Yarrowia lipolytica: one gene and its partner. The protein of the gene in region 2 purifies or fractionates together with the protein of the main gene of each other region. This does not show direct contact. Links are inferred from orthologs where the notes say so. Each region holds a gene or a part of one and is shown on either strand. Other genes may lie near its edges.

The links.
Region 1: the proteins of YALI1_B18811g (region 2) and YALI1_D25216g purify together in Saccharomyces cerevisiae (affinity purification with mass spectrometry; 3 studies listed by BioGRID, with this or other methods). This does not show direct contact. The link is inferred for Yarrowia lipolytica from reciprocal best matches to the Saccharomyces cerevisiae genes PRE6 and RPN8.

The regions. Positions count from the first base shown.
Region 1 is NC_090773.1:2,519,688-2,523,127, reverse strand, and holds YALI1_D25216g (uncharacterized protein), read right to left. Parts: upstream 1,546-3,440; coding exon 532-1,545; downstream 1-531. Other genes in the region: YALI1_D25208g (uncharacterized protein), read left to right, coding at 2,349-3,383. UniProt on the Saccharomyces cerevisiae protein: Acts as a regulatory subunit of the 26S proteasome which is involved in the ATP-dependent degradation of ubiquitinated proteins.
Region 2 is NC_090771.1:1,879,932-1,883,426, reverse strand, and holds YALI1_B18811g (uncharacterized protein), read left to right. Parts: upstream 1-1,964; coding exon 1,965-1,999; intron 2,000-2,055; coding exon 2,056-2,075; intron 2,076-2,300; coding exon 2,301-2,995; downstream 2,996-3,495. Other genes in the region: YALI1_B18845g (uncharacterized protein), read left to right, coding at 1-1,456. UniProt on the Saccharomyces cerevisiae protein: The proteasome degrades poly-ubiquitinated proteins in the cytoplasm and in the nucleus. It is essential for the regulated turnover of proteins and for the removal of misfolded proteins.

The DNA.
Region 1 (3,440 bases), on a different chromosome or scaffold from region 2:
CCCTCGTCTTTTTCACTTTTGCACTTTTTTTCAGCTTCTTCTACACTACTCCATCCACTCGGTACCACATCTCAGATGACCAATACCAACTCTACCCAGCTTGGATCAACATTGCCTTGTGGGGTGAACGAGAAATGACGGAGGTGATAAATACCGGCGAAAAAGTGAACAGATCGGGCTGTAAATCGAAAAAAGGGATTTAAATACATCATATAATCGTTTCATACATTTTTCAGTTCTCTTGGGCGTCTTCCCTCAAAGAAGTTTGCGTAAACGTATGTACATACTATACTTGTTGGCTTACTTCAGACAGCACAATCAAAAAACAGCTTTTCTTTACCCTATAAACGAGAAAGAGAGCATAAATAATACAAAATACGTCAGTGGCTGTACTGATCACAGTAGATACATCAACACCCCGTCCCAGTCCTACATCTCTTTATGAATACATCATCTATTGGGCAAAAATGGAGAGCCCACCTACTCGAGGCTATTATAACAATCCTCCCTCCTCCCCTCATGGCAAATGCATCACTCCTTCTTCTTGTCCTTGTCTCCCTCCTTGGTCTCCTCCTTATCCTCCTCCTCCTTGAGGTTCTCCTTGTTCTCGATCTTGTTCTCGATCAGGTTGTGGAAGGCAATGATGGCTCGGACCAGAGTGGAGAGGTAGACAATCATGAGCTCGTCGTTGGACTTGACAGCAAAGGCCTTGGCCCGCTCGTCAGTGGTCTTAGCAGCGTCGGTGAGAGAGTCGTCAGAAGACGAAACAGAAACGTTGGGCAGCAGGTTGAACACATCCTGCAGCTTACCAAGAATCACATGGTTCAGAGGCAACTGGCCCTCGACCACCTTTTGCAGGTAGTTTGCAATCTCGTGAAGCCGTTTGTGGAGCGATTGCAGGGACATAAGCTGGTTGGTGATTCGCACAGACAGGTTGCCGGCCGCGGCGTCTCGCACATCTCGCAGCAGATGCTCCACACCAATCTCCTCGGCCTCCTCGGCCTCAATGGACGACGGCACGTGCACAAACGTTCTGTCGGTGGCGCTGCCGTCGTCCTTAATGTCCTCAATGGCAAAGTAGGCATCGGTGGGGACACCCACTTCCTGAGGCTGGATGTCGACAATCAGTAGCAGGGGGTTGGGGGTGTATCGCTTGAAGAGCTCGTTGATCTGGAGATCGGAGGCTCGCAGATTGGGACCCGAGTGGTACCATCCAATGAGCTTTTCCTTGGCGTTGATCTTCTTGAACATGTCGCCCATGTTCTCCACAAAGTTGTGGTCCAGAAACCACACGTCGGGCTGCTTGTCGTCTTCCTCAAAGGGAATGGCGTACGAGTTGGTGACTCGGATCGTGTTGCCGGTGTTGTCGCCCAGAAGCACGCCGACCACCCGCTTTTTTGTGTTCATGGCGATTCGGTTGTAATGGTCCACTACCGAAAGCAGCACCAGGGGGGCGACCGTCACTTGCTCGTAGGGCAATGACGACACCAGAGTCGTGGGGACTGCTGGTGCCGATCCGTTCTGCGCGGGTTCTACTGTCGTCATTTCTGTGTTGAGAGATGGGATGTGATGAGGTTGATGTGATGTGGTGATAATAGAGAGTGGTGATGCACGCACCAGATAGAGTTAGTTGCCACCTGGATGGTGGTAGTTGAGATAGGATAAAGGAGCGAAAGAGGGGAAAATAAGAGGTGTCAAATGAGTGGAGAGTGTGTGATTTAGTGGCCCAGGTCGTCTGTTGCGATGGATGTGTCGTGATGGGTCATAATTACTAAGCTCTGAATGAAAGGTGATGTCAAGTATAAGCCAAGTATATTAAAAACAAGTCAAGTAAACTCAACTAACGCCACCATGAGGGTAGTGAACAGTGATGGGAACTTGTAAAGTAGCGGTCAATGTAAAAGTTATATTAATCGAAAGAGAACTTATGGGGGAGTTGATTTACCCACAATATGGACAAAAACACTCTCCATATGAACAAAATATCGATGTCCCTAACAGCTCATTTGTCTTCTCTAATTACCACCAGTACAGTATGTACAGTATGCACTAAAGTAGCAAAAACTAGCTCTGTAAAATACTGCGTTGGGACTGTACGCAGAGTGTTCTCATACCTCCATCTGTGGGCTGATAAGATAGTCTTCAAAGTACGCTTCCCGATATCGGATTTGACCAGAAATAAGTTCAAAATAATCACCTTGTCGATGTCTCCTCTGTCTTGTCTTTCCAACCTCATTTTCCCTTCGCCACCTTTCGATAACTACTCTCCACTGCACGCCGCCTTACCGCAACCTGCATGAAACTTACTGCCAGAATTATTTGTCAAACTAACCAACACCACACACAACATGTTCGGACAGCTGATTATCGGACCGCCAGGGTCGGGAAAATCGACCTACGCCTATGGAATGTACCAGTTTCTCAATGCCATTGGTCGCAAAGTCTCAGTGATCAATATGGATCCTGCCAACGACCATGTCCAGTATCCGTGCGCTTTGGACATTCGAGACTTTGTGCAGCTGGAGGATGTCATGACGGAACAGAACCTGGGACCCAATGGAGGCATCATGTATGCTTTGGAGGAGGTGGAGACGGATGTGGACGGGTTTGTTAACAAGATCAAGGAGCTGGGAGACAATGAGTACCTGCTGTTCGACTGTCCCGGCCAGGTGGAGCTGTTTACACATCATGGCGCGCTGCAGAGGATATTCAAGCGGCTGGAAAAGCAGGAGAAGGCGCGTCTCTGCGTGGTCAACCTCGTCGATTCGCATTACATCACCAAACCATCTCTTTACGTGTCAGTCTTGTTGCTCACTCTGCGATCTATGCTTCAGCTCGATCTGCCCCAGGTGAACGTGCTGAGCAAGATCGACTTGATCCACCGCTATGGAACGCTCGACTTCAACCTCGACTATTACACAGAAGTGCAGGATTTGCACCACTTGTTCCCTCTGCTGGAAAAGGAGGCAGGAATGACCAAGTATGCCAAGCTGACGGAGGCTATTGCAGAGGTAGTTGAAGACTTCGGTCTGGTAGCCTACGAGGTGCTGGCGGTGGAGGACAAAAAGAGCATGATCCAGCTGCTCACAACTATAGATAAGGCGACAGGCTACTTGTTTGGAAGTACCGAGGTCGGCGGAGACTCGTTCTGGGCGGAAGCAACTCGACAGGGAGGATATGTGGGTGGAGTTTCTGATATCCAGGAACGGTGGATCGATTACAAGGACGAATACGATGAGGAAGCGCGAAAGGAGCACGAAGAGAAGCTCAAGGAGGCAGAAGAGGCCACTAGACCTTTGACTGCGGACGAAGAGTGGGAGCAGGCTCTACAGGATTATGAAGAGGGTATGGGAGGTCCTGCTATTAAGCGGGAGAACAAGTGAGAGCCGTCCGATACTGCATTTCTTATGAGGCCATGTGTGCTTTCTATGAGTGCTCCA
Region 2 (3,495 bases):
TAACCGACATATTGATGTGAGAGACCAGTACACTACCAAGGCTGCTCTTGATGGAGCAAACGCTGCGCTTGTTCTTCTCAAGAATGAGAAGAAGACTCTTCCTCTGAACCCTACCAATATTGGAAACCTCAACATTTTCGGTATTGGTTCTAAAACCGGCCCACTTGGAGCTGTCTGTGGAGAAAATATGCAGTGTAGTGATGGCGCCCTTATTGAGGGATGGGGGTCCGGTTCCGTCTACCCTACCGATTATCAATCTCCTTACGACGCCATTAAGGAGAGAGCCTCCAAGGACAACATCACCATCGGAGGCACTACGCAATCTTGGGGTAACCTGTCGAACGTTGAGATCCTTTCAGCTGCTGCCGACGCCAGTGTCGTCTTTGTTCTTTCCGACTCCGGTGAGAGTACTGGTATTGTTGACGGCAACATTGGGGATCGAAACAACTTGACGCTGTGGCACAATGGAGACGAGGTTGTCAAGGCTGTGGCATCTAAGAACCCCAACACTATCGTTGTTGTTACCACTGTCGGCCCTGTGAACCTCGAAAAGTGGATCGACAACCCAAACGTCACTGCCGTGCTTCTCACTGGACCCGCTGGTGACTTTGGAGGAAGAGCTGCAGCCTCTATTCTCTTCGGCGACATCGCCCCTTCAGGAAAACTCCCTTTCACTATTGCCAAGAATGACACCGACTACATTCCTCTTACTACTAAGATCCCTGAAGACGGCCTTCCTCAAGACTATTTCACTGAGGGTACTCTTTTGGACTACAAACGGTTCGACGAGAACCAGGTGACTCCTAGGTTTGAATTTGGCTACGGTCTGTCTTACTCTAACATTACGGTGGAGAATCTCGAAGCCCGGTATGCTTTCCCTAGCATTCCTGAGTTCTTGCCCACTCCCTTTGCCCCTTCGAACCCCAACAAGCCTAAGAACGCATTTACTCCTCACGCCAATGAGTCCGTCTTCCCCAGTGACATTGATCCTTTGAACAAGTACGTCTATCCATACCTGAACGATACCTCGGAGATCTTCTCTAACGAGACCCATTATCCCTATCCTGAGGGGTACTCCAGTGAGCAGTCCAACAGTACCAACATTAACGGCGGGGCTGTCGGAGGCAACCCTGCTCTGTGGCTCTCTGCAGTCTACATTGTCCACAGCGTGTCTAACTATGGTCCCTATGATACTGGAGTGGTCACCCAGATGTACATTGCCTTCCCTCAGGATAACGACGATCTTAAAACCGCTCCTAGACAGCTTCGAGGATTCGAACGGTCCGAGCTCAAGGTGGGAGAACGGCAGGGAATTCTATACGATGTTCAATGGCGAGATCTCGCGGTCTGGGATGTCAAACTTCAGAGCTGGCGGGTCCAACGAGGAGAGTACAAGGTTTACGTAGGCCACAGTTCGCGAGACTTTGTTCTGACCACCAGCTTCACTCTCAAGTAGGATTCCACTTGAGAGTGAATCACTTACATTATTAACCCTTCAGCTTCTTATTTAGATTCCTTTAGATTCCTTTAGATTCCTTTAGATTCCTTTAGATTCATTAATTAATTCATTAATTGTACTGGTATGTGTACAGTAGCCGAAGTGTATAATTATTTGTAAATTATTGAGGTGATGGAGATTGAATGTCGCCTGAAATGTATACAGACAGCTCCATGTAACAGAACTACACAATTCACCTAAATACATAAATGAGACCTGCCGAGATGAATTGCTTTAATAAGTATAAACATTTTATTGTTTACTCTCTTGAATACTCTCTCCACAGTACAAGTGAACTGGTGGCTATTTTCTGCTTCCAACACTTGAACCTTGCCTCTCTAACTTAGTTGACGATCATGTCCACTATTACTGTAATCAATAGTATGCAGGCTGTATCATCACACATTGAGTTCGCCACCACCAACCACTTCAGCATCAGTCCCTCACCACACATACACAAATCACAATGAGCGGCTACGACAGAGCACTTTCAGTATTCAGGTGAGTATTTGCACACGAAAGTGCCACACACAATTATCGATTGATTACTAACACAGTCCCGACGGACACGTTTTCCGTAAGTTGAACAAGACATCCAGGTGGCACTAACGTTCACAGAGGTGGCAACAGTCACAATCTCGCCCCGACGTCAGCGTCGGTACGACAGGATAGTTGGGTTTCGTTGGATCTGTCCACGTCTACTGCCATTGCGATTCTTGCATCTGTTGTAAGGATGGCGATGGACGGTGGCGATAGACAGACACCCCAACGCCCAACCAGCAAGAGACAATACTAACAACAGAGGTGGAGTACGCCTTGGAGGCTGTTAAGAGAGGAACCGCAGCCGTCGGTGTCAAGGGCAAGGATGTCGTCATTCTGGGATGCGAGAAGCGGTCTGCTCTCAAGCTCCAGGACCCTCGAATCACCCCCTCCAAGATCTGCAAGTTGGACACTCATGTGTCTCTGGCCTTTGCCGGTCTGAACGCCGACGCCCGAATCCTCGTCGACAAGGCCCGAGTTGAGGCTCAGTCTCACCGACTCACAGTTGAAGACCCCGTTTCCGTCGAGTACATCTCCCGATACATTGCTGGTGTTCAGCAGCGATACACCCAGTCAGGTGGTGTACGACCATTCGGTATTTCTACTCTGATTGTTGGATTCGACCCCAACGACAAGGTGCCCAAGCTGTACCAGACAGAGCCCTCTGGAATCTACAACGCGTGGAAAGCCAACGCCATCGGTAAGAGCTCCAAGACTGTACGAGATTTCCTGGAGAAGAACTACGAGGAGGATATGGACAAAGCCGCCACCATTCGGCTGGCTATCAAGAGTCTGCTGGAGGTTGTCCAGACCGGAGCCAAGAACATTGAGATTGCCATCTTGTCTGCCGACAACCCTACCGAGGTTCTGAGCACGGAAACCATTGCTGAGTACGTTGCTGAGATTGAGGAAGAAAAGGAGGCAGAGGCCAAGAAACAGAAGCCTAGCCGGGATTAGGGGGTGCCGGTGTATATGTAGTCAGATGATGTAGTCATAGACCTAATGATGATGTAAATGTTTTAATTTGCGACAAGATGCGTTGAGCGCACCAGTAGAAACAACTATATAATGATACATTGCTAATGATTTAGACGGGTAATTGGATTATCTACGATACTTGCACTGTTTATATTGATTGCTTTTTTTGGAGCTTCAACAGTTGATCTGATTACTATAATTACAAGTATAAACCATCACTCATATTTGTCTAACCATTGTCTAACTAAACTTCTGTCATTCCTCACAAAGAGATACAAGTACAAGTACTTCACACCCATGAAATAGGAGATATTACACACGTTATCAATATATAGAACAGTTAATCATACCCGGTGTTTTAACAACTCCACTTAAATCCTACCTCCAATCCTCTCCCCTCCCCCTCCTATCACTGTCGTGTGATTACCCATCGGTGTATGACGGCGTGCAGAAATGTGAAATTTAAACTCATCACCAAC